Drosophila melanogaster: one gene and its partners. Changing the gene in region 4 together with the main gene of any one other region gives a genetic interaction. Each region holds a gene or a part of one and is shown on either strand. Other genes may lie near its edges.

Region 1 (7,988 bases), 1.8 Mb from region 4:
AAGATAGAATCATAGAGTTTTCTAATAGCTAATCGCACTTCTAACTTACCTAATTCATATTTTTACTAAAACCAAATTGAGTAATTTCGTATTCATAAACAAAAGTCAAGGTGAGAGGCCTTAAAAAAGTTGCTCAAAACGAAAACAACATTCTTATAAGTAGATGGATGATACATTAACCTGAATAATTCAATGGCATTTTTATAGTCGCTTCTTGGCAATATCTTTCGAAATGATTTTGGCTTCAAGTTAATGTAGCGCAAAATTAGCGTCAAAGGTAACATTTTTAATAGAACTCACTTTATGCGCTATAAACCTTAATGATTAATAACCAAATGCGCAGTTACCATTTGATTTGAAAGTGCCTTGTAAATGCATAGAGCTTATAAATCCAATCGACTTCCTTTTTTCTTCTTTTCAATTAAGTTTTTCAAAACTAATGGATTTGTGTCTCTTTTCGTTTAGCATCCCCTTTGGCGCCATCGCTGCGGCCAAGTCGCTGCGTCGCACTTTCAAGTTGGAGTACGTGGATGACCACAACGATCGCAAGGAGCTGGAGATCAAGCTGCCCAAGCAGCCGATCGCCGCGGGCCTGTACCGCTCCATCACGGAGCGCCACGCCTTCTACGTGTGCGACAAGGTGCGCGGAGTGGTGACCAATCAGTTTACCCGGGATCTCAAGGGCACCATCGCCTCCATGTTCATGGAGAATACGGAGCTGGGCAAGCGCTATGTCTTCGACATTCAGCACACGTGTCGCGAGGTGCACGACCAGGCGAGGAGGACTCTCCACGAGCGGGGCGGCGATCTGGTGGCGGAGGGAGCCGAGGGATGCTCTGCTGTCGCTGGAGGATTGGGCGCCTCTGCCGTCGGCGAGCCGGGCGTCAGCCCATGGGCCATGGCCCTGACGACTGGTGCCGGCGGCTCCATGGCCGGCAAGATAGATTTGGCCATACGCGAGAAGGAGGCGCGTGAGGCGGCGATTGAGCGTTGCGTGGACACGCGCATCTCGGAGGCCATGCAGTGCAAGATCTGCATGGACCGCGCCATCAACACAGTGTTCAATCCGTGCTGTCACGTCATCGCCTGCGCCCAGTGCGCTGCACGGTGAGTTGTCTCTGCAGCCTTGTGCTCCCATTGAATCCTTACTAACTTCCTTAATCCTGTCTTGCAGATGCAGCAACTGTCCCAACTGTCGGGTGAAGATCACCAGCGTGGTCAAAATCTATCTGCCGCCGGAGCTGCGCACCAGCCAAACCGGCAGCGGCGCCACAACCACCAGCAGCAGCAGCATCATGGGCGACGGCCAGGTGGAGGAGCAGCTGCTCCAACAGCAGCTGGACGAGATCTCGGCGGCACCCGCATCCCTCGAGGCGGGCGCAGATGCAGGAGTGGGAGTTGGCGGCATGGCAGTGGGAGCAGGAGCAGGAGCAGGAGCAACCGGACCTGGCGGACAGCCGAAGGTTACGACGGCCGCCTAGAATTGGTTGTGCTCGCTGCTGTTCCGGCTGATGGAATGGGTGTGCGTGCCGATTGTCTGAGAACCAACATGATTCACTAGTGCTCTATGACCACAACCTAAAAGGGGAACAAACCGACGAGGCAAGCAAGCAACTGGCAGCGTGCAACATGCCACGTGCAACGTGCAACATGTCACGTGCAACGTGGGTTTGAAATCGATTCGAAGCGGCGTAGTCAGTCTTTCAAACAATCTTAGCTCTATCTTTACTCAAGTATTCTAGCGACATAAGCAACTGAAACTTTAACTCTAACTCTAGCTGTAACTCTAATCTACAGAGTAGCCATATACACGATATATATATATACCTAATATATATATATATATACATATATTTACTATTTATAGATGTACGAACTTCGAGAAAGTGCTATTTAAACTCGTCTAAGACTTCACTGCATAGCCTATGCCTAGAATCTATAACTGCAGATTGTTTCATATTCATATACACACTGTATACTGTATACACATAGATATATTTACGATCGTTATAGATCAGCGATACCTTATACGATGTAGCCCTTGAATGTACAACATAGTTACTTACTAAATGTTAGCAATTTTACCAACTAAAACTCGAGATGTATTTATTAACGCCTAAACTCTTTAGTATTCCACCCTACCCAAAGGAACCTATATAAGAAGCCCCCCAAATTCTCATATATCTAACCATGGATACCTATTAAAAAACTATATGTTATAGCGTGTGTATATATAGGACAAGCGTACAATAATCGCAAACCCAAGGAGCAAAGTAGTACTAAGTACCTGCAAATCAAACAGAAAAACATAAACCGAAACTGAAACAGAACACGAAACACGAAAAGTATCTCTGCAGCGGATATTACATAGTCAATAGTAAATGTTAACAATGTTATACTATATATACATAGATCTATATATATATATAAATATATATATATATATATATACATATAAAAGAAACCAATGAAAAAACCTTAAATGTACCTTGTTATCTGTTGTTTATTATTTGGAAAGCAAATCTTCGTTTCTTGCCGTCTTTAGTTGAAAGCTTTCTGTGGCATATTTCTTTGTTCTTCCTTAACGAATTCTTCTATCATTTATCAGTTTTAATACTTCATTTCTTTTCTCCTTTGGCCTCGTTGCAAAACTGAATTCGAAATAAATGCTCTTGACCAAAAAATCTCATCAAGTTCCTCTCATTTGAAATCATCAAAACCTCATCGTCTTCTCCTTTCATTTTCTTATTTATGAGCGCGTTGGAATTCTTCTCACAGCTGGAAAATATATCAAAAAAGAACATACTACGCCTATGTAATGAGTCCAATGAATCTGCCAAAGGTCTCGATAAGAAACCGCATCATCTGCAAATTATCCATTTCTGGACTCAGCTTGAAGTACTGAGTAATCTTCGGTTTTCTCTTTCCCGGGATATCCCTGTCCACATTTGTAATGAGATGTTTTAAGTAATGCGGAATACTCTGAAGACCAAAGGGAATATTTTCGTTTTGCAGCAGGAACTCTTCGGTTTTCATAGTAACAGAATTATTTGGCACTGCCATTTTCACACTTATTTCGTTGGGAATAGCTGTTCCGAGTGTGATTCCTAAGCCGGCAGGGAAAATTCATTAGTAGAATTTATTTTATACATATGTTAATTGCTTACCCAAGAAAAAGTGCAGAATAAAAATCACTATTGAGTTCATTTTCAGACCTAATTATTTCTGTTACAATGTTCTGATTTTGGGTTGAGTTGTGACGCAAAGTATACTATTTGAAAACTTTACTTCGACGCTTAATTCGAACAATAGATTATTATAGATTCAAAGTTTATTTAAATTGAAATCTTTAAATCCCGTTATGTTACATTTTTGAATTGCGCGCCCAAATCTTCCACGAACGCGTTAGCACATAACTCAATTTGAGCCGCTTGTGAGCAACAGCTGATCCACTGCTCTTCTTCTTACACTCCAGACAATCGCAGCACGAAATCCAGCGATGTGGCAACACCGCCGGCCAGGTGGCAATTCTGCTGCGCAGTGTGCACACACTGGCAGCCACTGCTGGTTGGCTCTTCTTCTTGCAACTGCTGCAATTATATATCGCTGTTCCGTCGTCTCCGCCGATCCAACTCCGCGCAAAAAACCGCACATATATCGCTCAACGGTCCGCGAATAATCCGTAAATATTGCAATTGCACGGTGGGCACAAAAAACACGACAAAATAAAAGGCCCAACACAAAACAAACGGAAACTCACACGGACACACGCACACACACGCAGGCGAGCAGCTGACGCCGGCAGAGGCAGTGCAGCAGCAGCGACAGCGGCAGAGCAGCGACGGCAGCAACAAGCAACAAAAGCAAAAGGCAAACAATTGGATAAGCGCTATTAAGGTGTTAAAAAGGCAGCCAACTTAACAGTCCAAGAGTTCAGCTTGAAAAGCTAACGGTTCCAAGGTCGCAGCGCGAAAAAATCGAAAAAAAACACTCGCTTTTTAGCCGTCTTGTTGTTGTTTTGGCTGCTGCAACAGTTGCAGCCTATGCGTATGTGTGTGTGTGTGTGTTGTGTGGAATTGTGCGATCGCCATCGTCCGTTTCTCTCGCACTTGCTGCTAATAGTCGCCGGTGAAATGGTGTCGCCTTTCGCAGCCGACGTCGACGTCGCTGCCGACGACGGCGCAGAGACCACCACTGTGGCAATGAAACGCAATTTGTTGTTCTTGTTTCTGTAAAAATGTTTACAATGCGATCAAAATGCACTGGCAGAAATTAAGAGTGATAAGCATCAAATTTAGCCCATTAAAATTTGAAATTGTTAAAAGCGATGTGATAAAGTTTATAAACACAACTATAAGTTTGAAACACATAAGAATAAAATAAAATCTAACTTGCGCGAAATTCATTTTCTTATTTTAAACCTGTAATAGTGACCGAAAATTTTGAAATTCTTTCTAGATTGTTCAGCCACAACTGAAACATAAAATCGAAACCCTATTTTTACCAGCTTAACATGGGTAAAGTGAAACTTATAAGAAAACCATGAAGAATACCGTGAATGCTCAATTCAAAATTTGAAAATCCACTAGTGCTCTTAATAGCTTCAAAAGCAAGTGAAGAAATTTAGAATAAAGAGTGTGATAACCGAAAGAAACACCGAGAAACGCCGAGGAAAGTCTAGACAAGTGCCTGAAACCAAATGTGTTTGCCCCGAAGTTAAGTCCCTTCGATCCGCCCAAATCGGCTTTAATTCCCGTAAATCCCCTCTTCCGCCCAATAATTCCGCCACAAAAACAGGCACATGAGTTGGATTAATCGGAGTCAACTGGAATAGGCCGAAGCACCCGGAGCACAGGTCAGTATCGGAACAATCAGGCCATATCGACTGACATCAATCAGTTAAAACATTCAAATACCGTTTGCTCAATTGGACGGTTCGCCTTGAATCGGTTGAAACCGGTTGCCGATTACCGGTTCGCTTTAAAATTCAATTAATTTAAATCAATTCAGACCAGACAGTTTGGTTTCGTGTGGTTTCCATCACAAATATCCGCCGCGACCTAACTATTTCTAAAAAAATGCAATAAAAGATTGCACAATTCCTAGCAATCGAGGAATTTCAAGTGCTGTACAGCAAATCTGAATGATACTGATATTGACGCTTTTTAAGTGAAGGCATGACGAAAGTAAGACGTTTTTTACGGCATTTACAAAATGCTACTCAAAATATTAGGTTTTGATACGGAAAATCTCAATAGAATCTACCTTACATCATATGTAGATAAAATTTAAAAGTCTTTAATAATTTATGAGATTTTAAATACAAATGCTGAAGTTTGCCATCGAACGTAATTGCAGAATCCTAAGATATTATCATTGACAACTTATTGGGCTGCAAAGATAATATATAAAATATATATTCAATTATTATATTTGTCCAACTGATGGAATTAAATAATCATTAAAATGGTAATTTAATGAGGCGCTTTTGCAGAAAACAAAAGCAAACCGCATGGCGAATAAAACAAAAATCGAAATAAAAGCGATGATTTATGCAATATTCAAATATGCATTTCGCACAGGCACTCACACACACACACACACACACACATACATACAGATAGCATTTGGCTTGAACTTTAAAGAGCGACTACGGTTATTAATTTAACCTTTTTATTTGGCTTCACTTGGTTTAATTTGTGTCCAGCAGGTCCCAAAAACCTGAATGCGCTGATGGCCAGCTCCGCAAATCCCTGAGCCCCTCTTAGCTGTCCGGTTTTTTTTATTTTTTTATTTTTTGGGCGCCCTTAATGGAAAAAATGTTGAGCGGTCTTTTTGCGATTCTCCTCTCGGCTTAATCCCATTTTTGAATACCCTAGCAATAGGGCTTATAACTTCGTTAAAATGGTGAAATACTCTAAATAAAAACATAAAACATATATGAACTTATTTGATTTCAAACTCCAAATGTTGCATGCTTTTAAGCATTTTAAAACCATTCGGTTTTTTGATCTCCATAAGATGTTCCTTATTCCTTGTATATTTCGATTCATCGCACATCCATAGATGATTGATACTGTGCGTATCCGATAGGGTATTCTTAATTCCGATTCGTACATATACCATTTTATACTCGTTCCCCATTGTTTTTGCGTCTGTTTACGTTGAACTGGGGGCCACTGAAATGGAATCGAGGAGAAGGGTGCCCAAAAGGAAAACGACGTCCTGCCATAAAATTGCATGTCCAAGTTGTTTTATTTGATTATGCGATCGTGTGTGTGTGTGTGTGTGTGTGTGTGTGTGTGTGTGGATTTTTGTTGCTGTGCTCGTTTTTTTTTTTTTTTTTGCTGCAAGAGTTTATTGCGCGGAATGCTATTTAATAAATTCCATTTTCTCTGTCATTTTGCCGTGTTTTTGTTTTTGCATCTCGGGCAGGATTTATGTTCTTGCTTTTGTTAGCGCTGTTTCCGCTTTCCATCTTGTTTGTTTGCCCGATGCAAATTTAAAAAATTCAATTTCCCTGGTAACTCCAATTGCGTCAAAGGCCAGCCAAAAGTTGCGGAAATGTGAATTATGTGCATCCGTTGCAATATGCACAGCGTGCTTCTTGGCTCGCTGCGATTTCATATTTCACTGCTGGATTTATTACTAATTTTGTTCCCCATTTTTGGCCCCTTTAATGCAGTTTACTTCCCGCGGCGCTCGCTTTTCCTTGGCTGAAAAACTGGCACAGAAATACTAGGATAGATAAAAAAAAGCGACGAACAATAAAGACGGCAAAACTTAAGCACCTTAACTCACTTTTGCCAGCTCTCAACTCTACAGCAGAAACTCGCAGAAAAGAACTCGACATATAATCGAGAGGAGAGCGAACGAAAAGAATTTCAAACTACGCTAAAAACTTTTCCGAACAACGCAACTTTTTCTTGCCCCAACCAACACCACCACCACCCACCCTCCTTCGAAAACTTTTCCAATGTTCCTGCACTCGTTTTGTTATTGTTATTGTATGCAACTTCCGCCACAGCTATAACTATAACTATGGAATAGAAAAGGCGAAAAAAAATACAAAAAAATACTGGCAAGAACATCGATGATAAGCGGGAGTTCAATGGTTAAAGCTGGGCATTTTCCGCATTTGGGGGAAAACTTTAAAAACTGGTTCGCTGCGTTTTCTATTTCACTTGTTCTCGGGCTGCTGCCACGCCCTCAAAAAAAAAAAAAAAAACAAAAGCAAGGACATGGGGGCCATAAAAATGTTCCTTCAGGCAGCTGGGGGGAAAAACAAAAAACTTTTAAAAACAACTGCACGGGGAGGAAAAACAGGCGCAGGTGGGCGGCAACAAAAGCAACAATGTTCAAGTGCAGGCACTGGGAAAACTCGGGAAAACACACTTGAGGTCAGTTCAATAGGACAGGCTTCCCAATAATTATAATAATAATATTTATTCTCATAACATCTATAAGAAAACGTATAATGTGCTTAGATAATATAATATATAATGTTCAACTTATTCAGCTAAAGTTAACATAGTAAGCCAAATACTACAATTGTTTTAGCCACAACTGTGTGCCCAACACACTGGAAAACAAACAAAAACTCGGCTAACAACTCTTAAAAGCTGGCACCAGGAAAAATGAGGGTAAAATACAAAATATGAGCGCTCCAAACTGCATTTTCCCACAAAAACAATTGCATGGCCCTGCTGCATTTGCAACCGAGTAAAAAAAAAATCAATATAATGCGCATAAATAAATTAAAAATAATTGCAATACGAGTAGAAAAACTTCCGTTTTGCATGCCTTTGTTGTTTACATTATGCAACTTTATTATGGCCACTCGAAATTACTGCTGGCAAATTATTTATTTGTAAATAAATAATAAAACATTTAATTAGTGGGGTAAACATTATGATTACATAATTTGGATTAAAAAACAATCCAGTTGCAAAATAGCACACTCTGCTTAACTGTTGTTGCCATCTGCC
Region 2 (9,392 bases), on a different chromosome or scaffold from region 4:
GCTCAGCGATCATCGACGCCTCAATGGAACTTTTTTTGCTACGAAATTAGTATTCAGTTACCATACGGACAACAACAAGTTAAACAAACCTGAAAAAAAACATGGACACAGGCCGGATGCGGCTAAAGCAAAAAAAGTCCAAGCCAAGAAGCCTCGACTGCAAGTGGGATCTCTGATCTTGGATCACCAATTGCCAATCATCATCGCTGGCCATATGCAAAATATGTTTATAAATAAACGACACTGAAAGAAGTGGATGTTTACCCAAGTTTCTGCTCAAGATTTAGTTTTAACCGAAATGGTGAAGTGGAGAGCCTTAAATTTGTGAATGAACTTTATAGTAGTTATAACATTTTGTATTACAGCACTTATCACATGGGCACCACAAGATACCATTATATTTCGCAATTGCCACGGGAAGTGTAGAAATTTTTATCGGTGCAGCGAAACGAAATCGGTTCCGAATTCCAAGGCGAAGTCATTAATGGGATGTCACTGGAGAGTGACAGGGCAGAGCACCCCTTTAATGGCAACTAGATGTCCTCAGCCCAGCTGAGATTGGAATGGAATCAGTTCGGCTGGGACTGGGATTTCAATGGGGATCGGATCGGATCGGATGGGATCGCATTGGAGATTGGGGCTCGAGGAGCGGGACTGAGTGACGGGTATTGGATTTCAACATGCAATGCACGCGGCGCGGCATGCGGCTGCATATCTGCAACGCCATCTCTGGGATACGTCGGGATCCCCTTATCCCCTTATCCCCGATTTCCTATCCCAATATATTATATATATATGAAATACAAAAAAAAAAAGGCACCGCAAGTGCCCGCCCGCTGATTGACATGTGATCCTCATCTTCATCGCATCCTCCACAAGTTTCTATGGCTTGCAAATAGCGGCCCTCTTGCCTTCAGATTTAAATACACTTTGAATATTAAGTTTATACTTGTGGTATATATTGAATTAAATCGAAGATTCTCAGGAAGTGCATCTTAGATATAGGTAAACCAACTGCAATGCAAACGAACTACAATTTACCATCAGATGTAGGGTATTTAAATTGCGTATTTATAGATTTTCTACATTTTTTTCCAGGTTTCTGCTGCTTTTAACCTGTTGTTGGTTCTTCGGCGGCGCTGCTGATTTGTCATTCAGGCGAAACACTCGCGAGTCGTAAAGTAAGCTCCGTTTCAGTTCCAGTCTCCTGAAATCTGGCGAAGAAGACGTGAAATCATCTCGAGACGTCGTTGTTGCAGCAGTCATAAAATTATGATCGGTATTTTTTAGCCTTCCGTTCCCCTGGGAAATTTGAACTGTGTCGCTGGTTTTTGCCAGCATTTTTTAGTTATTTCGAGTCTAGTTTTTCGACATGGAACATGGATTTCTGCTGTATTTCATGCAACACCTTGTTCCCCGATTTCCAGGAACATATGTATGTATGATCTCGGGACATTCCTGAACTGCGTTTCCACGGAAACTTGCAAATAGACCGTAGTAATTAAAGGCACGAAAGCCGAAGAGCAATAAACACAAGCTTTTCGAGCCCAGTCATGTCTCCCATTCAGCCATAGCGAACCAATTCAAAACCATTTCTAACGCAGACGATAACCAGAGAGAGACGTGTCGTTTTTCACAAACAACGACGCGCCCGCTCATTTTCAATGAAAATTTCCACAATTTCCTCAATGGATCGTCGTCGACCCATCATGTGTGTGAAATACAATCGTGGATTTCTTGCCCAGAAACCCTGCAACTTCTTCGGTGCAATGGAGTGGGAGAGAAGTCGAGGCGCCTCGAACTCTTATGTGTGTTCAAGATGTCGTGGACTCAAATTAAGATAAGATGCAGATAAGCCGTGCATTTCGATTTAGCCGTTTGAAAACTCGTTAATAAGAATTTGGTCAATCCACTGATAACGACTAGTTTTCCATTGAACGGAGGCGCATAACGCTTATCTTTGTTAGGAATAAATATGACAAATTGAACGACTACCGTTTAATCGTTTGTCTATATACGAAAACTTAACAGGATTGTTCGAGCTATCAGTTTATTTGAATAGTTATTGTTAATGAAAACTACTACTAACTAGCCCAATATAATATATTATGAATATTTACTCTTCTTATTTTCAAATGATTTAAAATTTTCACCATTCCACAGCGATTAAAATCTAATTTACCCATGCATATATTTAATATTCATTCTGTAATTAATCAAGCCCTTGTTGAACCACTCGCATTGTCTTTTTCGCCTTTTCGTGTTGATTGTGGAACCTCCTTATCCCACAAAACACTTTTCATTCATTTTCATGCTCATTCACAAAACATGAGAAAAAAAAAAGAAAAACAAACATTGCAGTCGTGAGAGGAAAATTATTGAGCGAGAGTTACTGTTCGTGTTTTCTCATTTTCAGCTGAGAAAAGCAGCCGACCAATCACAAAACCATTTCCCCTTTACAAAAAACCGATCATTTTGCATCTCGTGGAGAGTATTCAGATTTGTTTGGAGAGTTTCGGAGAGGAACTCGTTAAGCCGGGTCTACAAAGGTGAGTATCTGTGGACCGTGGTGGAGTCAGGGGAAATGTTAGTGCTTTAAAAAGTGTCTACTATGTGTGGAATTTGGATTGTATCTTGTGGATTGGATATTGTGGTAAGGTTGAGTTTCATTTGGTATCTCGGGTAGAAGTCAATGAGGTGGATGTTCGGGCACACAGGCTGTAGAACTTGTTGGATATTTTGTCAAGAACTGAAAGTATCCGAAAGGATTAATTCATAGCATATATACCTCAGTTGTATTTTGAATTATTTTAAATTAGTTTTCTCAGAATTCATGGGCTTCACACTACACATCTTCCCCTCTTAAGATCTCAGGCTTAAATTCGTACTCCATTCTCATTGTGGATTTGAAATGATGACTGTGAAGACCAAACACGAAGGGCTACCCCTTAATTCCACATTCTTGTCCACCAAAGCAGACCTCTCCGCAACTCACCTCTTAGGAACTCTCCTAAATTCCGGTTTCAAGTTGTGGTCCAAGTTCCACATGGACACCAATGAGACACATTCCCCAGTCTCCACTCTCCAACCAAGTACATATCTCTCTCCAGCCGAACGAACCCGAGAGCGAAGACTCCGCCTATCGGATTCGGAAATGCCCGTTCGGGGGGTATAAAAGCGGGCGCTCTGAGCGAGCACCACTCATTCGTTGTCTGACCGCTCGCAGCAAAAGATATAGAAATCGAGAACGTAAACGCAGAAAACACGCTGGATTAAAGTGTTTCGTTTCGAACATCGACAGAGTGAGAAAACAAAGTGAAGTGAGCGCACAAAGCCGAAATCAAATCAAATTGAAAAGCCAGTCAAGAGCAATCTTTAACTGAACCTCGCAAGTAATCCGGTACGACCGTGTAACAACCGCCAAGATTCTACTCAAGGAGCGTAAAGCAATCATCTCCAGAATGAAGTCCCTGACGGCCGTCTGCCAGACAGGTGCCTCCGGAATGCCGGCCTTGAATGCCAGCGGGCGCATCCAGCGCCATCCCACGCACCGCGGCGACGGGGAGAACGCCGAGATGAAGATGTATCTGTCCAAACTGAAGGACCTCGTTCCGTTCATGCCCAAGAACAGGAAGCTCACCAAGCTGGAGATCATCCAGCACGTCATCGACTACATCTGCGACCTGCAGACCGAGCTGGAGACGCACCCCGAGATGGGCAACTTCGATGCGGCAGCCGCTCTGACGGCGGTGAACGGACTCCACGAGGACGAGGACAGCGACATGGAGGATGCGGATGCCGAGGCAGAAGCGGAAGTCGATCCAGATATCCTCGCCCAGCGCCTGAATGCCGAGCAGCCGGCGAAAGTCTCTAGTCCCGCCGCCCGTCTCCCGCTTACCGATCGCCAAACGCCCAACACTCTTGTGGCGCCCGCCCATCCGCAGCAGCATCAGCAGCAGCAGCAACTGCAACTGCAGCAGCAACAACTGCAATCACAGCAGCAACTGTCCAACAGTTTAGCAACGGTGAGTTAACAAACAAATTGCTAGGGTAGTGAAAAACCCAAATAGGAAGTGGGCAGATGAGCACAGCTCAGGTCGAAATATTAGGAGAAATAATAAGGTTATGGAATATTTAAAGTAGTTATTTTTGAGAAAATAACATAGTTAAACATTTAAAGTACATGACTTCACTGGTTTCAACTAGACAATAAAGCGATTAATTGCTAAAGTTACGATAAGGAAGTGCGAATATCGCAAAGTTTGCGATCCACCGATTTTCGCTATTTCCTTGAGTGCCATTATTTTGACCGCAGCTGTTTGGCATTTGCATTGCAAATTTAGGAGACAATTGAGTGTCAAACTGTTTGGCTTTACTTGTTTTTGTTTCGCGAGTGACCTCATTCATAAGGCGATTGACGAATGTTTGCGTGAATGTTGTTTTTTTTCATTTTGTTTTATTTTTTTTTAACGGAAGGACGAGGCGCGTTTCGTTTCGTTGGCGAGTTTTGGGAAATTTCTTTATTGGGCGGGTGGCTTTAGACAACGCGGCCTGCCCGATTTTGTCGTACCCTCTTCTTCGCCGCACAGATTCATTTCGTTTTTATAGACATTTCACAGACCGTCTCTGTGCGATTGTATGCGTTGCGGTTGTTGTCGCCATCGTTTCTTTCTTTTGTGTGTTGCCTATACGTAGCTGTTAATTTTTTCTCGCGGCCTTTTTCTGTTGTTGTGATGTTTTAAATGAACACCTGCAGATACTTAAATTTATTTCACACACACTCGCACACACACATACTCACTCACTCACACGCACTTGCGAGCTTGAAAACGGAATTTGGAATTGGGGAATCATCAGTCTTCGTATTTTATTTCATTTGGGTTTATTTTTTGGCTCACTTCATTAGCTCTCAGCTTCGTTACTTCTTCGTTTTTGGACTTTCGGTTATTAATGATGCTGGCGAAAAAATTCGTTTGAGATCTACAATATGTTCGTAAAAACAGGTTCGAAAAAGCTTTTTTTTCAATGGGTTTCTCAAACAAATGATCGACTGGGTGGCCCGGCAAGTGTTATTAATTTTCGATCTCTGATTGTTGATTAATTGTGAAGGTGGAAACCCTTCTTCGAAATTCAGAAAGATGGTTTTGAAATCGTGCCTTCGTCATTCCTGGCTATGAGTTACTTCTTAAATTTTTGATTAATTAACTGTGGGTCTTTAGCTCAGTCCGCTTTGCGTAGGTCTCTTTTCTCTCATTTTGGGTGCGTAATTTTTGTGTTTTTGTTGCAAAACATCTGCAACCCACAAACATATATACTTTTTGTGTTTGTATGATGTGTCACCGCCGCAACAACAACAACAAGCCAACAACAATCCGAGAATTCTTTCGAAAACACGCACACACACACACACAGAAGAACACATGGGGGCACTCAGAAAACTGTAAAAAGAAATGCACGTGTTCAAAATGTTCTCTCTGTGGGTTGTTTTCAGTTGTTTTTGCTGTTTCTTTTTCGATTTTTTTTTCGCGCAGCTGTGCGCCAGTCGCCAGTCGGTCGCTTTCTACATTGTGTTCCCCCCACGGATCCTGCCCCCCCCCCTCCACAACCGCCCCCTCGCAGTAAGAGAGCAGAAGACGGAGGAGAAGAGAGCGCAAGACACTGGGGGAAAAACTGCGTGATTTCAACGTTTTGCTGATTTTCAACTGGGTATACTTGTGCAAGCAAGCTACCTGAGATGTTATTTTAAAACATGTTGTATCTTCTAATGCACATGTTCTTAGTGCAAAACATTTTTCCCAGTGCCAAAGAACTCAAATAAGTGCAAAACAAAAGCTCAATGACAGCGCGTTTGATTTTCTTGGCGCCTCTTTATTGCCCCATCCCCTCCACTCATCGAAATCAGCCTCTCGGCGAGTGTCCCAAACACAAACAAAACAAACAAATCAGTGGAACAGGGAACTAATTGATAACATAGAATGGCGAAATAATACAGCTTATAAACTAATTATTGCATTTCAATCGCACATTAATAATGTACTAATTTGAATCTTCCCGCTTCTCTCTTTTTAGCCACAGAATGCGGAGAAAGACAGCAGACAGTCGTAAGCGTGGAAACGCCCAGCCGGGAAAACCCACGGAACCTATAAGCCTATTAACTAAATGCATAATGAAAGTACAGTCAAAACTCCACTCGCAACCTTCGTGTGAAGATCTCCGCATAAGATAACGTGTGAAACTCTCAAGAAAACCACAGCCCAGGCGCATCTCTTCAACGCTCCTTTTCCCGGGAAACGGAAAACCCGGGAAAACGAGACCTCGCTTTTGGCTCCAACAGAGTTTAGTTTAAACATTTAATAACAAGAATACAACAACACAAAACCTAGCATTAGAGCAGCGTAAGCAAGTACACATTATGATTATTAATTAAACATTACAACTAGGATGATGGCGCTTAAGAATGAACGGAAGAAAGAAAACTTGGCAAAGCTTTAAACAATTTAATTTTCCTTTAACGCTTGAAATTACACTGAAGCATATATTTTTGTTTTCCTAATTTTAGTTTTGTTTTGGTTTAAACAACGCAAGAAAAAATGTTACTAATGCAAAGCAAACAGAGATCAGCAATAAAAAAAAATTATAAAAATGCACAGGCACCAAACTGGAATTACGTTGAATCACCGTTTCCTGCATTACGATTATATGATTTCAATCCAAATGATTTTCCTATTAATTTTAATCAATGAAGAGTTTTCCTATTATTGATTAGCCACAGCCAATAAACAACAAGAACAACCAACTCAGCAGCACACACACATTCAAATTCATTAATTTATATCGAGAGAGTACGTTTAGAGTTTAAGTTCGAGAAAGTTCATTTCCAGGCACTAATTTTCACTCACACCACTCACATAGAAAAACACAAACACCTCATTTTGTAGTTTTCCGAGTCCCTTGGATCGTTTTCCTCTTTTTTAATCGAAATAACGCATAATGCATAATAATTATTACCAGATATACACTAAAACCTATAAATATATATTAATATATGTTCTGTGATCTGTAGCATACTTTGTACAAAGTGTTTTTTTTAGCATAATTATGCGATTTTAATTATGATCCGCAATCGAAATTACACATTTTTGTTCTCATTTCGATGGTAAAAACACTCTATCATGATGTAAAAAAAAAAAACAAAAGAAAACATTTGATGATGTTGCGAAAAAATATATTATCTAAAACATAAAGAAAAACAAACACTAGCTCTTAATAAATTGCAAAAATTTAAAAAACATTAAAAATCGAATATGTCAATGGATTTCCGTTGGGAGCAGGGGATTAAGAAACTACCAGATCTTACCGCAAAAGTCGGTAACTACCTGCAGACAACGACAACAAGTAGCCGGGGGAGGAAAACTCAGCTGGATGGCCATTTTCACATGTAAACAAGTGCAACGAATTACCAGAACAATGAGGTGGATGATATTATTCTCGGAGTTTCATGGGCGAGCGAGTTTTCTCACGCAGCCGCCGCCTTTGTCATTAGGGGTTTGGTTTTCCCATTTTCCATTTCCCAGGTAAAACGGCCGTAGGGTCCGTTGAAAACTCGACCTGCACACGTGTGCGAATTGCGGACGGAAAATTTCCGTTGAGAAAATTTCCTTCACTGTGGCCTGGCCGCTTTTCCTTTTATTTCACGTACGAACCACTTGGGTGTGGATTTAGTTTTGGATTTTCTGCGCTACCCGCAGCTGCCTGCCCACCCACTTCCACTCACACTCACACTCCCACGGCCCACCGCCCACTGTCTCCCTCTCTTTCCCGCTATCTGGCGGCCTATTAGCGTTAATGATTGCAACTACAATGCACTGACCAATTGGCAATTGCGACTGTAGTCTCGGGTTGGCTTCGAGATCGGGGCTTGGAGCTTGGAGCTCGGCACTCGGAGCACTCGGTGCCAGTCGCCCCATTCAAATGTCAATTCGGATCGGACCCCAGTGGACCGCTGGGGAAACACTTTGAACAGCTACGAAAAGCTTTTCCGCGGAGCCCATAAATCTGGGATGCTCTATGGAAGGCCCTAAAATGTATCATTAAATCTTTAGGTTAAGGCACTTTCTTGAAAAAACGACCTATTTACATCTTAGCAACCATATTAACTAGTTTAATCATGCGGTAAAAGTAGTCGATCGATTTCCTTGTGCTAAACTTAACCCAACACCTTTTTGAAAACATATTTTCTTTAAAGTTGTTGCATATTTTAAATAACACTGTTGACAGATCTGCACTAAAGTACAATTTATTACATTGCCTCCTGTTAATTGAGCAATTAATACAATAATCGTAAAAAATACCCATTCCATCGACAGAAAACCGCATTACTATCTTCTTGTTAGGGTATGCCCAGCCGTTTAAAGTTAAGTTGCAGGCATTTGGAAACTAATAGGAAAAGAAACAAAACACTCTGGGGTTCACATGCATTGTCTACGGGGGACATTCATTGTTCACTAAAAGATGTCGAGTGAAGCTTGAGAAAATAAATATTTTAAAAATCAGTATAACATTTCGTTGTATTCAACCCATGAAATATTGAAAATCTTTTACAAAGTAATAAAAGTGTTGTGCGATTATTTAGGATTTGAATCCTACTCCTATGAGTGAATACCCAATTTCTCCATGTGCATCGGTGCGTTTTAGTCGACATCGCCCGTTCTGCGGGGCCAATGATCTCCGATTCCGAGTCAAACTCTGGTATGCGCTAATTGTTTGCAGAGCTTTGGGCTCTGAGCCATTGGCCAGGTACAATTAGTGCGCTCACCTTAGTCGGGTTTTCTCCCATGTAATGATTTTTTTTTTTTTTTGGGTGCGACTGCGCTGAGACGAGAAATCAGTGAAACTTGAATTACCATAAAAACTCGTGTAGCAGTCAACAGCTGCGGCAACTGCGCGATTGCGAATGCCGTCGCCTCGGCTCAGCCTTCCAATGGCCGTGCCGGAAAATTTTGACATAATAATTGTCAAGCTGACATTTCCAACCACGCAGCTGACAGCTGAGCCCGAACCAGCCGGGCTCCCGAGTGTTAAGCGAAGCTATATGCTCGAACTCCCGGCTTAACCCCTTGCGATCCCAGGGGGATTACGGGCAGGATTATGCAACTTAACCTTAGATAACTCACCGCCATAATGCCATGATTTTTGGGGATTCAAGGCCGACATATGTTTTCAATAACTTTAGTTTCTATAAATTTCGAATACTAAATATGAGTATTTTTTGTTTTTTTTTGCATTATAATTTTTGAAAGGTAAACGAGTGCTGACTGTGCAATCCCAATTGCTTTCAGGTGCCTGAAATGCCCATTAAGATTTTCGAATTCCCAGGCACGTTCAGTAAATAT
Region 3 (7,534 bases), on a different chromosome or scaffold from region 4:
GGCAGAACGAAAAGATAACCTGTGCAGGTGGTTATGACCGTGAGGGAGCGTGGGCTGGCCAAGTCGAGTGTATTTCCGCTTGAAAGCGGCAATAACGATATTTGTAATAATAAATTTACGTAAAATATAAAACAAAATCAACGTTGACTCAAGACCCAGTCGCCGCCCACTCAGCGACACCAACGCTTTTTCGAGGCTGCAGACAAAGTTAACAGCCGACAAGGTAGCAACAGTACACACAAAACAGCCAGCTCAGAAGCTTGGCCCGAAGCCCCACGATGCTCACAATTAGCCGAGTCGAGAGAGTTTGTATACAAAAGTCTCTGCTTTCTCACTGCTTTCCCGTGCGATGGCCATAAATGGTCGCAGACACGTCTCACAGACTTCCTTAGCGGGATCGCCGGCCATCCAAGTGGGCCAAGAGGGAAGGGGCTAATAGCTGATGGCTTATAGCGTTTGGGGCCCCCCTTTGATCGAACTTATACTGGGCATCGCGCCTGGCTTTCTGACCATATTAAGGCAAATGCGATTTCCGAAGCTGGCAATTAAAAGCCAAAGCCAAAGCTGAAACTCAGAACATTTGCATAAGCAATTGAGCGACATGGCAGGTGGAGCAGGGGCATTATTCACGCTCAAATTAGATTAAAAGTAATGACAATTAACGCCATAAAATTCTAGTACTTAAGTAGCAATTAGTTAAACTTATATAAATTCAGTCTTTACAAGCATGCATTATGGCAATTATTAGTGTAAAAGTGCGAGAAATTATTTAAAACTGATTATTTTTTAAAATGTATATATTTTATTACCACGTTTTCAGCCCCTTTTGGCCATGCCCATATATTTTTGGACTTGGTCACAAAACAAACATTCAAAAGTGACGTTTGTTTTTTTAATTATGGCTCGCTTATTCATGTTCTTGTCTTTGGGAGTCGTCGTCGTTCGGCAGATTAAGCTGTCAGCAAAGAAACACAACATTTTGGCCACTTTGTATGTATTTTTAAATACGCTCAGTTAATCAAAAATATTCGTACATATATAATTTGATTTTCAGCTCCCTTCGCACGCAAATCAAATTAATGTTGCATGCGTTACTTTTCCACTCTCCTAAAATGTGTGACGACCTTGTGCCATGAAAAATGTATGCTTTCTGGGCATGAAAAAAAAAAGAATCATAATCAAATTTAACTGTTGTCATCATGATTTATTTACTCAAGAACAAAACACGACAAACGATGACGAACTCGCCTTCAGACAGAAGACAGAAGCACAAAGATAAATTAATCGCCAGTCAGTCACAGAGTCGATCGGTCTATTGCCCGAAGTCATTTATTCACAAATGCTCGTATATGAGTATATCGGGGCAAACTCGAGATTTAAGCCGGGTATGTCGTCATAGCTACAATAATGAGAAAACAACTTGTTTTGCCTGCAGGAGCAAATCCATTTTGCAATTATTTGCCTGTTTCAGTTAATTATAATTATTTGCGAAGCAACAAAATGCAAGCAAAAACAAACTATACAAACATGACTCTAAACAATATTCTTTGTTGAAAAATAAAAAAAAATCGGGTTCCAACAACTGAATTGTGACTTTGAAATCAGCTTAGCACTTTGAAATTAGACGCTATGTGAAAACAACTTGAGAAGTGCACACACCCAATACATCTGAACTGAAACTGATCGAAACGAATTAGAATAAATTATAAAATCCAAATATATGGACAGGAGTCAAAAGCGTCGGCTATCAGATACCCATCAAAAATATTTTAATTACAATTTAAATTGCTGAAAATTACTGAACACCACGTTTCGAAGAATTGTTATTATATATATTTATATTATCTTACAGGAAATACTTTAAATACTTGTCATGAATTAAAGTTAAAACAACAAAATTCCACCATCCATTCTTAAAACACTTAAATGACAAACAAATGAGGAGATTTCCTTGAACTTTACTTCGACGTGCCTCATAATTCGCCACGAAATCCAAGTTGATCCAAATAAATACCAAGAATGAGTATCATTTATGGTCTGGCAACCAAAGTTCAACCTTAAAAATGGAGATCCGACACAAGTCAAGCTTTGGTAGCTGATACCATCTCAATCAAAGGCGAATAAACATTTTTAACTATTTTCAAGTGAGCTCAAGCAATGTCTGACTTGTACAAATGAATGTCAAGCGCTGCTGCAGCAGCAAATAAAATTAGCAATAAATTTAAATAAATAACTGCCTGGCGATATTAGATCATACGAAATCTCAGGGGGCCGTCTACGCGTACTCGTGGTAGCACTCAAAACACTCGAAACGAAACCGAAAATCCATCCGAATCGGAAATCACTCAAGAGAGTGCGCCAAAGACCAACTGGGACCGTACTATGCGATACAGTACGATACGATACGATCCGATACGATACGATCCCATCCGATCCGGCCAACGCAAAAAGCACCCACACATCGGGTGGATGTGGATATTTGGGGAAAGAGAGAACTGGTTTCTCTTCAATGACTTTGTGCTGAGCTGTGCTGTGTTGTGTTGTGTTGTGCGCTGGGCTGTTTTGTGTTGGCGTTGGCGAGCGCCAGTGGGTTTCTCGGTTTATTGGTCGTCGCTGAGAAAACGAGACTGTGCTGCCTTTTAATGCGGCATTTCATTCATTGATCGTTCCAATAGCGCGCCGCACGCTCAGCGCAGCGGACAAGTGAGCCAAAAGTCCGACTTCCACTGCCATCGCCGCCCACCTGAGCCGCTAACCTGGCTAACGGAGTCAAAGCCAACTGGGGGCAGTAGTCAGCTGATTTAGCTGCCACCGCATCCCAAGCCAAACCAAGTCAGACCATCCCAGCGATCCGCGAGATATATCTATTCAGTGCACAGCCGACAAGCGCAGCAGGCGGACGCAGCGCAGCATTTTCTCCGTGTATTTTCGTATGCCATCTCGGGATATTGGATACAGATACAGATTCCGAGATACAGATACACAGAACGCGAGCGACGCGCACTCATAGATATTTTTAGCAACCGGCCTCACGCACACCGCCGCACACATTAGTACCGCCGCACTGACACACGCGGCTTGCACGTTTTCACGGAAAATCCATTCTTCGAGGCTTTTCCAGCAGGCCCAAGATAAACACAACTCAAGAATGCGCGAAAACCGTACCGAAGTTATTATCAATAGTTAAACCAGCGGCGCAATCACAACCGCAACAACCACAACCACCGCAATATTAATTCAAACCAAAACAAGTTCCAGAAGTTTTTGAGGAAATAAAAACTGAAAACAAACCTTTTTTGTTGTGTTAACATGCCAAATTTATGCATGAGCTAATAACTTTAAATCCGAAAAGAATAAAAAAAAGTCCAAACAAAACAAAATTCAAACAAAGATCGCATATCAAAATTAGTTGGGTGACTAATTAGACAGCGCGTTGTCGGAATTTCAATTTGCATACTTTGGCGCAACTTTAATGAACCAAAAATTAAAATAAAAACATCAACAAATCTTAATCAGAGTGCACAACTGAATTCAAATCATCCTGAAAGACCAATCCCGCAGCCATACATTGTTGGATTTATGAAATCAAAAAGGTAAATATACCGCCGCCATTTATCAGACATAAGCGTTCAGATATAGAAAAGATATAGAAGATCTGCCCGATCTCTTGTTGCCGCCCCAATAAAAATAGACAAAAGGCATTCCTCTGTCCAATCACGTTAGTGGCTGGCAGATGGGGCAGGGCGGGCTTTTAAGAAACTTCTGAAACATTTATTTGTCCAAGGTGTTGAAAAGCCAGATGTGTGCAGGGGAAAATGTTTTCGAGCTGCTCAGCAGGGAAAACGGCGACGACAGCCAGTTGTCAACTGATTTTCAAAGGTTACCGAAGGGAAGCAGCAACTTGGCTGCGTTTGTTTGCGACCAAAGTAGGGGGAACAGTTTAATTAATGTGCAAACAAAAGCTGTGAATTCTCATCATCAATGAGAGTCCCGCTTAACCTGCCACTCACTTTAAATCTGTGATGTGCTAATCAACGCCGGCATTTATTTATTTACTTTCATTTTCGCCATACCATTCGGCAACAAGCACTATGTTTGCCCAAATAATCGAGTAAAATTGGTTTCTGGCAGCCAGTCAATCGCCGATTTTAATTTGGCATTTATTTATTTAATATATTAATATATTATTCATTTTGTCGAAAGCTAAAATAAACTAGCATCTCATGGGCTGACTCAATACATGATTAAAAAATGTTATTCGTCATAAATATTTTATGATTTACAAAAAAAAAATTCGCCAAAAATACACGCATTAATCGAGTCAAATTTTAATGATTTTTCTGCCATGGAAAGGTGCATCTAAAATTAAATTAGTTTATGGACACATGAGTCTATTGCTACCCTATATATACTTGCCTACCTCATTGTTTGCTGTCCCCCTGACCCAAATCTCGATCGTATGTGGGAAAAGCCAGCGCCCCTCCTTGCAAAGAGACTTAAACAATAACAATAGCAGGAATAAATCAAGAAAAATAAAAGTTAGTCGTAGGCAAATGCCAGAGACCTGTCAAAAAATCAAGCAAATCAAAAGCCGATGGGTAATACAAAACCACACAGAAAGCTATCAAAATATAACTCATACGTATTCGTATTTATCCACACGGTGGTGGAAGGGAGACGGTGAATGTAAACACGGCCACATCACACATACGCAGTGTGTGCCAATTTTAATAAACAAACTCAACGTAAATGGAAAATCAAACAAAATCATTTGGCCAAAGCAATGGCAACAAATCAACAGAAGAAAAAACAAAACGAAATAAAAGGAAAGAAGCGTAAAAAAATCAAAAGACGGCAAAAAAAGAGATGGGTAAAATAACAAATAAGAACTTGCCGCAGGCCGGCTAAAAATAATAGCTGCCAACGGTAGCACACACGAGACTAGCATCAGGGGGACGTGCAACGTGCAACTGGCAACAGCCAACAGCACGAGACAACAGCAACCACACACACACACACACGCGCAACTAGCTAGGCGAGCAACAACAAAGGTTATAGACTATAGGTGACTATGTATATAGTATCGGCAACAAAGTCGAAGCCGAATGAAAGATTTTGACGCTTTCCACAAAAAGCAAATTAAGAATCACAAATCGAGGCAGATAAAAAATAGATAGAGCGCTACGAAAATAAGAAAACGAAAATAGTGAAGGAAGAAAATTCAAGTTGCATACAATGAAAACTAATTTTAGAGCTGTGGAAAAGACAACAACAACAAAACGAATCAAAAACACGGCAGGCACAGAGACAATCTGAATCAGTCGGAGATTCCATAGCGAATCGGTCCAGAGGGCAGCTCTTGAAGTTACGAAAGACAAAGCAACTTTGGATTTCATTCAAAAGCAATAATTAAAGTTGAAAGTTTAGTTCTTGATGATGATTTTACTACTTTAGTTACTTTTTCAATTGAAGGATTACTAATATTTATAAATCAAAGTTTAGATCCGTTTACCATGCTAACTTTATCTTGTCAAGAGAAAACATTGTTCAAACTAAGTCATCTACCCTCGTTATAGCAATGCCTCATGTGGTTCAGTTGCTTTTTTTTCCGTGCCCAAGCAGCAGACGCTTCATTTTCCATTTAACCGCACCCGACTGCCGAAATCCTTGAATTCAACAATTCCTCCTGCCCCGATTTTCCCCCCGGAAAACCCATGGGCGCGCAGACAAGCGTGCAGAAAAAGTTCTAAATTTAATGGCTACACCTAAAAATGCAGCGACTGCAACCGAACCAAAAGTGAAGGGCAGACTGCAGAGGGAGGAGGAGCCACTCGCCGGTAGTTTCAAGTGCACTTCGGCTAGGCCTGGCTAACTTCCCCGTCCCCATTCCCATTCCATCTGATTTTCCCCAAAAAAAAAAAAGTATTTTATATATCTGTGGAACGGGCCGACCCACCCACACGCCCCTGCCCCGCCCCTCGACCCCTTCACGCCTCGTCGCACGCACGGCTCGCCTTTTGTCTACCAAACTGTTGGTAAAAGAGAATGGGATCAGGAAAAGGGGTGCACTGAAACAAAATTCTTCAACTGCAAATAATTGTAAGGAAAAAAACTTTAAGAATTTTTTGTTGTCAAAAAGCTCAACATTTTATTTGAATATGAGATCTTATAAATATATCATATAACAAAAACACAACTTAGTTTGATAAGCTGAAATGTTATAAGCAGTAATCAAACATAACAGCTTTATTGTATTTGATTGAACGTATTTCTTTCACATTCCTCCGATTTTTCTCAGTGTCAAAATGAAATGTTGGGCTTTTGTGTAAGAGGAACTGTTCTATGTTTGTTGTCTGTGCATTTCAATTGGGCGCTTTCTGCATTGTGCCGGCGTGTAATTGAAAACTTAAGCAGAGGCACCACCCCGCCCTCCTTCCCCCCCCCCCACCGCTCACTTTGTCCACGAAAAGCGCGCAACAAATTTTCCAATCAACAGAGAACGAAACAGGCCCTATGCACTATAAACTGCGCCCCGCTAACTTCCTGCTCCACTTCCTTGCAGCATATCCTGTATCCCTCCGGTTGCGACTCCGAAAATCAGGAGGCCGCTTGTTGCTGTTTGTTCAACAAACGTTTATTAGCCGCGAATACTTTTAATCGCATGCAATTTGTTGATTGCGGACAGTCGTTGCACTTTCCACGCTTTTCCACCCACCCAGCGAAAAGGCCCACTTTAAGCACACGGAACTAGGTAATTTTCACGTCGTTTTGGACCGGAGGGCGGGAAAATGGGAAAATTGGGCGGAGGGGAGCGAGGGGAGTGAGCAGGTGAACAACGTTTGCCGCCCCTCTTTGAAGACGGTGCACAAATTTTTCTGTGTTGCGCGCTTAATTGCAGCTTGTTTGTTGCATGTCGCAAACTTTTCACGATGCCCTTACAACTCAAGTGGGTTCCACTGACTTGGGGGCGGGTCTTTTAAAGAATGACATTCGTTTCGTACCATGCTTTAAAAATAATGTATTAACGAAATTTATATGTATATAGATATGTAGAGTAGAGGATAGATACTAAGCATATTCTAAAAGCATTTAAAACTTTTTGAAAGGGCATGCAATCCATGCGGATCTTTTCCAACTTAAAAACTTCTTTCTGCTGGGTCTTTAAGCATTTCTTAGGATTGCGTGGTAAAAATTAATTATACCTCGAAACAGGGGCGAAACGCCAAAAGAAAATGCCGGCACGAAGTGAAGAACCTAGCCACGTGTTGAAAGTTGAGGCAGGGAAAGGTGATTTGAATGGAGATTTGCTGGGATTTCAAGATGAGCTGTGCTGAATCTCTTGGCATGCATTCTCTCTGGTTTTTTTTTTTTTTTTTTTTATTGCTGCCAGACAAACAAACATTAACGGTAATCGAAGAAAAGTGCTCACTTAAGGAGAAACACCTCATAACTCGTTTAGGCCAAGCCAAGAGCGAGCTCTGGGAATGGTCAAAGCTATGCAACAAGTGTCAAGCAGGCCAACAACGAGCCAACA
Region 4 (7,906 bases):
CTGCGCCTGCCTTCTGATTTTCATAATTAATATTGGGTGAATTAAAATGCGCGGAAGGCGAGGAAGTTAGAACCGCGTGCTCGGGAGGAGGGGAAGTTAAGGGAAGGGCAGGCGGTTCCGAACTTCCTGCACTTGTCACCGTGAAAAGACGCGGCACCACCTGCATGCAAATGAGCCGGACTACCGGTAATCAGGTGAAACGGTCACGACCTGTTAATCGTTTTATGATTGTAGCGGTGCTTTTGTTTCCTGTGCACAAACGGTACTTGCACTTCGGCCCAAAAGAAAACCAATGCCCAGAACTGAGAACTGAGAACAGAGAACTGAGAAGCGAAATCGTAAGGCCAAAACCCCCAGCTTTTCCTTTTGTTTTCGCCCAGGGAGCCGCAATTTTATTTAAATTGTAACACAAGCGACCAGACAATTGCCCCGAAGTCTCGCAGAGCTCGATCCTGATTTCGATTCCGATCCCGATCCCGATTCTCAACCCAATCCAATCCCTACTCCCTGCTCCTTATGCGTTATTCATGAGGCAAAAACATTGCGATCGCCTGTACCAATTGCCAATTGGTTCGACTTTTGAGCTGGCGTTGGCGGTTTTCTCTGCCGGCTTTGTCAATCTCAGGCTTTTGGCTTAGTGCGCTGGAGCAGGAGCAGGAGTTGCAGTTGGACCTGGCTTGGTTAAGTGGTTCATTGTCACCCCAGCGCCCAATTAGACACCTGAGTTTCTTGGCCACTCGCTTTCCGGCGATCATACACCGCAGTCATGTGCTCATGTGCCACGTTCTTGCATTCAATCAGATATATTCCGATTGGCCGATCTCGGGCCCATCTGTATAAGGAGTGTGTGTGCTCGGTGGTTTGAGTGTGTAAATCAACCAGCTTGCTGCGCAGATAATAGATATTCTATTTTGAATAATACCTGGGGAGTCGCTTGTACTGTTTTCGTTTTTTTTTTGCTATCTTAATTGCATCCAATTCTACTATCACCAGTCGTACCAATGACTTGCCATCCGAATCTCGTGCTTTACTTGAAATCCTAACACAATATTTCGCAGATACTTTCCCGCATGACCATACTGAAAAAGACAAAAAAAAAGGAAATTTACATATTTCGACTATTTAAAACACTTTGGCTTTGGCTTAAGGCAAATGCCCAAGTAGCGCTATAAATAGTAAAAAAGTCTATATATATAAATATACACATATGTGGCTATGGCTATGGCTAGCTGCAAAATCAAAAGTTGTTCGGAATCGTAAATGGAACAAACGCTCCTCTCGAGTTATAAATATATTTGGGAATATACCTATGCCATCCGTATGCCTAGATGATCTGTCCACCGTTTTGAAGGTGAACTCTGCAGGATTACATAATGCGGACTCTGAGCAGCAGCATCAGGAGCAGCCCCCTAATTCCCCTCGTCCCCTCTCAAATAAATGCACGTAAAACGGCAAGCAAATAATTAAGTATTAGAAATGTTCAGCTGGGGAGAATTCCGCGGAAAGTGCGATGGCAAAAACTACAGCATGTTGCAGTTGTTCCCAGCTGGCCAGAAGCCTCCAAGAGAAGCCAAGAGTTCTCCTCCAGACAGGCTGACGATTGCCTAGAAAGACAGCCGCACTGGAGCCAGCGGACTCCTACTGCCGGTGGAGGAGAAAACGGCGGAGAAAGAGGGCCTGGATGGCTGCAGACGCTGAAGAGCCCAGCCTGCAGCCAACTAACCAATTAGTAAGCGCTGCACAGAACGCGTCTACAATTGTGAGAACCTCAGACCAGGCTTGCAGGCCAACAAGTCAACAAGCCAAGAAGCCAACAGCCAGCAGGCCGTGTGAGTATGATGAAATGTCAGCAGGACCAGAAGCTGCATCGAAATGCACTCGGAGAAATACTTAGCAAACAACTAAAACCAAATTACACAATAAAAAAGTGTCACAGAGCTAGAGATGCATATGTCATATGACCCATCTGTAAACCTAATCCATATAAAATACGGAATTATTAGGAATGCGTGGGGATCATCAAACTTCATCTTTATTTATTGTTCTTTCTTTTCGCAGTCTTGGGGAAATGGGAATACAAGTGGAAGGCATCATTCAGATTCAAGTGACCCAAGTGGCATCCGTTTTCCCGTAGTGTCCAGAAGACCTGGTGCCCGCTGCGTGGATCGATCCTTATATGATCCGCTGGCAGCGGCAAACGTTCTATTTTGACAGTCATTATGATTAATTTAAATCATTAGGCAGCCCGGGCAGGTAGACAAACCATCGAGCTCCTATATTCCATCTAATTAAATGCGAGAGGAGCGGAGCTGCAGTTGGCTGTGGTCCTGGTCCTGGTGCTTGATCGGAGTCGACCTCGGAGTCGGAGTCGTGGAGCTGGACACGGGACCTGGACTGGCTTATTCGCGGAAGAGACAAGCTGGCGACAACGACACCGATGGCTGGAAAAGGCAACGATGACCATTTGCAGCTGGGGAATGCATCATCTTCGATCGCGGATCGGGGCGCAGTGAGTGTATCGATTTATCTGCGCTTACTATATACATATCTGCTGCTATCTGCTAGTCGCTGCACGTGGCCATGCCCACTCCGCCCCTTTGCCCATTCCGCGAACCTCTATTTAAGGACATGGCGAAATACTCGTGCTCCTGTGTACAAGTGGGCCCACCACGCAAATCCTCTAGAGCATTCTGACCATATTGGCGGGGCTAAGAAATTCCTGGCATAGTTTAAGTGTATCGCTTTTTGTTGCTGCGCCCGGGCACTCAAGATGCCCGCAAAGCTCAGCCTGCGAAATGTCGCAAAAGAAATTACAAAATCAGCAATAAGAAAATCAGAAAATCACAAAATCAGAAGATCACAAATTAACTAAATTAACAGCGCTGATAAGGCGAAACGCCACGTATGTAATTACCGAACTCAACCACGAGTTTTCAAGGGGAGGAGCCAATGAGCCACCCAGCCATATGAATCCCAAATCCACGATCTATGTGTGCGCATGCGCAGCGAATGGGTATGCATATGGGGGCGTGGCCATCTAATTAATTAAGCCATAAAGCCAGCAAAATGAACGACGGCAGCAGGAAGACGCCGAACGGGGGTGGGGATTGGGTCGGGGAATGGGGGATTGGGGTTTGTTTTTATGTACTCCGTACTCTTCGCGTTCGAAATCGAAGAGAGCGCGGCGCTCTTAGGAAAAGAGGAAACCGGTTCGCCCAAGTTTGGAATATCGAGCGAACATCGTTGGTGGAAATACGCTGAAGTTTATTAGGTATTTGCACGCCATCTGAAGAACAACGAACGCCAGCTATCGATCGCAAGTTTAGCCCGTCGAATCGTTTCGAATTCGTATTTGGAATGAACCACAATAAAATCGCCACAAATAAAGTAAACAGTCCAAACAAGTGCCTAGCGACAAATAAGCAAACCAACTGCAACGCATACGGAACAAACAAAAACACAAATATTTCCCATAACTGCACTAAATCTACGAAGTCGAAACAAAGTTAGGCGTATTTTTTTTACCAGAAACACTTAAACAATTTTTACAAAAAACGGATATTAATGCAATCAGTTCGAGACAAGCAGACAGCAAGCGGAAGACTTAAGGAGATAACAACTTATAGAGGCCATAATCAAAGGAATAAAGCACCATCAGCCAGCGATGAGAAGGAACGTCTTCAATGATAAACCTTCGAAAACTTTTAGAAAATAGCAAACATCCCAATAAACCACAACAATTATAAAACGCGAGAAAGGATTTGGTAAATCATCTAAAACCAGTTCAACAAACAACACATATAGTAAACATTAAATATTAAATCACAAGTTTTAGAAGGCAAACAAAGATAAAAACTCTTAACACCAGTTAAATAAAATATACTAAAAGAACTGCAACCAAAAAATAACATACAATTAAATGAAATTAAAAGCCATAAAGAAACTTAAAGCCATTGGAAACAAGCCATAAAAGCGGTCCAGAACCTAAATATTAAACACAAACCAAAATTCAAATTCCGCGCCAAACGACCACACTGCGCAACACACGAGCGCTGCATCCCTGGACTTCAGCCGCATTCCAACACTGCAGGACTGTCAGCTGTCAGTTTTCCTGTGTGTGTGCGCGCGTAAGTGTGTGCGTGCACTTAAGAAACTTAAATTCGCGTTCTTGGCCAAAAAAAACCCGGGTTTTTAATAAGTTATAGCGTTTTCCTCGACTGAGAACTTGGCCCCCAGGCAGACGGGCACAAAAACCGCCCCAGAAACGCGCCCGCCGCCGCCAAAAAGGCCGAAAACGCCAGCGAAACGCGCGCGTTGAGTGTTTTCTGTGTGGTTTTATTTTTGGAATATAAAGCGATCTGATCTGAAAAGTGTGCCGCGGCCGGATTCTAGATATTCAGATTCCCAGCACCCGAAACCCAAACGCAATAATAGACGCGCGCGGTGCCTTGGATCTCTACGGCTCCACGGTGGAGAACTTTTACCTCAGAATGGATCCGACGCGAGGTGACTCGCGGTACAATCTCAACTACTCGATGAGTAGCATAGGGCTGAGCCTGGCGGATCCGGCGGACATGTACGGCAACCCGGCCCTGGGGGCGGGCCGCCCGCCCTCCGGTGGCCTGCTCCAGAACATGGGCGGCGTTCCGCCGATGCAGCGCCCCAATCCCGCGGCAGGAGCACCCCCTGCCCCGCAGTGCCAAACGCTCCACAGCCCACAGCACGCCTCCCAGCAGCAGCAGCAGCAACAACAGCAGCAGCAGCAACACCAGCAGCAGCAACAACAGCAGCAGCAGCATCCCCAGCAGCAACGCGGCCTTAAGCGCTCCGGCAGCGACTGCTACGAGGATCACCACCGCTCGTCCGGCGGACTCACCCTCCAAGGACTGGACAACGTGGCCAGCGGAGCCGTCGACGACAGCGTAGACAACTACAACCCGCTGCCCAACAAGAAGTCTCCGCCTGCCAACGGCAAAAAGACAAAGGGACGTGTCAAAATCAAAATGGAATACATCGACAATAAGCTGCGTCGCTACACGACCTTCTCCAAGCGCAAGACGGGCATAATGAAGAAGGTAAGATCGCTGGAGCACCCCTACGCCATCCCCATCCCCAACGATATTTTCAACCCAACCCCGAAACCGAAATCGATCCCCATCCCAATCCCCATTCCAGCCACGATTGGCGCTGCAATTGGGATGTTGACATCGGGCCACGTTTCCAGCGCATGTGCAATTAATAAATGCTTCAGGGATTCAGTTGCGACGGAATCCAGCAGTTCCCCCACATCTCTGGCATTGTTCTGCCTCCGGAAAGAGCGAGGATTTATTGTCAATTGGCCATCGGCACAGTGGTCGGGATAGCTGGCGCACAATAGGAGAACCATCTCGGAATATCAAGTACCCAATGGATATATCCAACAGTTAGACCATTTGTGTACATTACTCGTCAGTTCAAATATTCAAATCTTTCTCTTGTGTCCATTACCAATTATTAGTTCCACTTGGAAGTATGTTTATTGGACCAATACAAATTCTGCTTGGAAATTGCTTATAGGCCACCTTATGTTGGGATCCCAAACCTAATGCTAAACAATTTGATTTAAGACTCAAAAACCCGAACCACTGTGCCCGCGAAGTACCTCTGCTCATCTCTAGAACAGTAGCCGCAGATCCTCTGCTTTTGGCCAGATCGCGTCTGTTTGGCCAACTGTTGGCCGCTTTGGCGGCGTTGTGTAAGCGCGGTAGCCCACGATTCCGCGTTGCCTTTGTTTTCGGCTTCATAAAATGTTAATTTGCCGCCGCAATTGCATTCAAAGGAGGCTCCTGCCCACGGAGCACTCCTCCCCCGAAACAATTGATGCGTGCTCCTTGTGGATGGTGGCCCACAAGTCGCTGCAACTGGCAACGTTGCCTTGGCATTTTCAAATGACCAATTTTCACACGCAAACTTACATAATGCCACTGCATTAGCTCCTGCTGCTTTCCATCGATCTGGGGGCCGTATATGAAATTTTTCACATTTCTGAAATAGACTTCCCTGGCCACTAGCTGAACCAAGCCCCGATCAAAATCAGACAAAAAGCATCAACATCGCGGCGCTAAATCACGATCTCAGCACGATCTTTGCCCAAGACACAAAATCTTATGAAATATTTGACCCAAGCAGACCAAAAACAAAGACGTTGGAGCACTTAAATTTAAAAGGGGAGATTTGGGAAAACGTTTAGCTTGTTGTACGCTAGAATGGCAATAAAATGTCAAGTATAAACTAAATGTTTAATAAGTTTAATTTATTTACTGAAGTTTATTTACTTTCATTATTAAGTCGCAAAGTAACTTATGATTCTTGAATTAGAGGAAGTGAGCAACCCAAACCTGTTAAACTGTTCCTCTTTACCCAATCTCAGTTGATCCCGAAATGGTGTTTCCTTATCGGTGAGGGTATCCAAAACATTTGACCCCTGGGACGTGGATTCTCGGGGCCGAGCTTATGACAGGCGCACGCCCGGGACAAAAGGCCGCTTCCATAATATGCGTTCCAAAAAAATATCGTTTTGGTGACTTTGATGCGGTCCCTCATCGATGTCCAGCCGGCGGACAGTTGACAGGCAGACAATGGGATTTTGACTTGGCGCTACCAGCGGTAGCAGCAAAAAGCGCAGAGGCAATCTGCAATCCGCCATCCCAATCCCAATTCGAATCCCTAGCAGCCAACCAACAAATTGCGGCCAATGAACTTGGCCCAGAGAGTTGTCGCGCCAACCTGCTGGCATGCTTTCCACTGGCCAATTTTGGTCATTTCGATCTGGCCGAGAGCCGGGGCTCTTTTGGCGTGGGTGGCGGTGGTCAAAAGGCCAAAAAAGGCGACGAGAGTGAAAAGTGAGCTAATGTCCAGAAGTGATCTCATTTGCTGGCCAGCCTAATTGCGTGGGCCGCATCATCGATGGATTCGCAGCTTTCGCTTCTGGCTTCTGCATAATGCACGGCCATCGAACAAGAAGCCATCGACAAGTTCCCAACAATTGGCCATGGCTAAAAGGGCAGCCGGGCGCAAAATGCCGCCAAAAGGTGTTAAATTGAAATCACGAGGCCTGGGATTGGGATTGGGGATTGGGGATTGGGCTTGGGAATTGTTTGTTTCGGGGCCAGCTTGCAGCACGGAAGCTTAGGCCGCAGCCTCGTCGGCAGATTGTGCCCAGATAAGACCCAGAAAGCCGGGCCAAGAGGCTCCACGTCGGCTCGCCTTTTGGCCACATGCAACAGGCTGTGGCCTCTGCCACATACGGGGAAAACAGGCAACAATCGGCTTCTAACAAATGACTCTCCATCTGGACGGAGCGGTCGCGGTCTCTGGGGCTGCCTTCTTGTCCTGTCAACGCGCTCGTACCCCAATCCTCGCCCGAATCCGAGTCGTGTCCTTTTGTCTTTGTTCGAAATTCAAATTGACATGAATTGTTGGCCTGCTCGCGGTGCCCAAGTAGCCTTCCTTCCTAGCCGCACAATCGACACCTACTCAGAACCAGCATCTGAATCAGAATCCGAATGCGATTTCGAATCGGAATCAGAACGAGAATAATCGGAATCCGATTCAGATTCCGCTTTCGGACCGTGTCAATTGTTTGCATTTACACATGTTACACATAAAATTGGCAGCCAATCGATGTCTGGCAGGGATGGGGTAGCCCAATCCAATCCGATCCTATCCGATACGATACGATGCGGTGCGATGCGATCCCCGGTATCCAATACCCAATACCCAATCCCCATCGCAATTCAGCCAACAATGTGTACAACAATTTCATTAATATTAATAAATGTTCTCGAAGCGTTTGCTTCTCGGTCGGTCGGCCAGTTATTTATGCGCTGTGTTTTTCGACTCACGGCAGCAAAAGTGGCGGAAAGCA

Evidence for each region.
Region 1: of bs (region 4) and px, changing one enhances a phenotype caused by changing the other (phenotypic enhancement), as found in Drosophila melanogaster (one study listed by BioGRID).
Region 2: of bs (region 4) and emc, changing one enhances a phenotype caused by changing the other (phenotypic enhancement), as found in Drosophila melanogaster (2 studies listed by BioGRID).
Region 3: of bs (region 4) and tx, changing one enhances a phenotype caused by changing the other (phenotypic enhancement), as found in Drosophila melanogaster (one study listed by BioGRID).

The regions. Positions count from the first base shown.
Region 1 is NT_033778.4:22,557,613-22,565,600, reverse strand, and holds the start of px (plexus), read left to right. Parts: upstream 1-3,535; 5' UTR 3,536-3,682; exon of another isoform or gene 3,683-3,702; intron 3,703-4,458; 5' UTR 4,459-4,855; intron 4,856-7,988. Other genes in the region: dnr1 (defense repressor 1), read left to right, coding at 466-1,107, 1,175-1,481; CG11362 (uncharacterized protein), read right to left, coding at 2,812-3,107, 3,168-3,207.
Region 2 is NT_037436.4:746,203-755,594, forward strand, and holds emc (extra macrochaetae), read left to right. Parts: upstream 1-3,197; 5' UTR 3,198-3,461; coding exon 3,462-4,025; intron 4,026-6,069; coding exon 6,070-6,105; 3' UTR 6,106-7,290; downstream 7,291-9,392. UniProt on the Drosophila melanogaster protein: Participates in sensory organ patterning by antagonizing the neurogenic activity of the Achaete-scute complex (AS-C). It lacks a basic DNA-binding domain but is able to form heterodimers with other HLH proteins, thereby inhibiting DNA binding.
Region 3 is NT_033777.3:26,438,144-26,445,677, forward strand, and holds the start of tx (taxi), read left to right. Parts: upstream 1-2,634; 5' UTR 2,635-3,593; intron 3,594-7,534. UniProt on the Drosophila melanogaster protein: Probably plays an important role in the differentiation of epidermal cells into the tendon cells that form the attachment sites for all muscles.
Region 4 is NT_033778.4:24,339,600-24,347,505, forward strand, and holds the start of bs (blistered), read left to right. Parts: upstream 1-3,261; 5' UTR 3,262-4,490; coding exon 4,491-5,075; intron 5,076-7,906. UniProt on the Drosophila melanogaster protein: Required for the formation of intervein tissue of the wing. Acts in a dosage-dependent manner to suppress wing vein formation and promote development of intervein cells. Might play a role in the proper formation and maintenance of the trachea.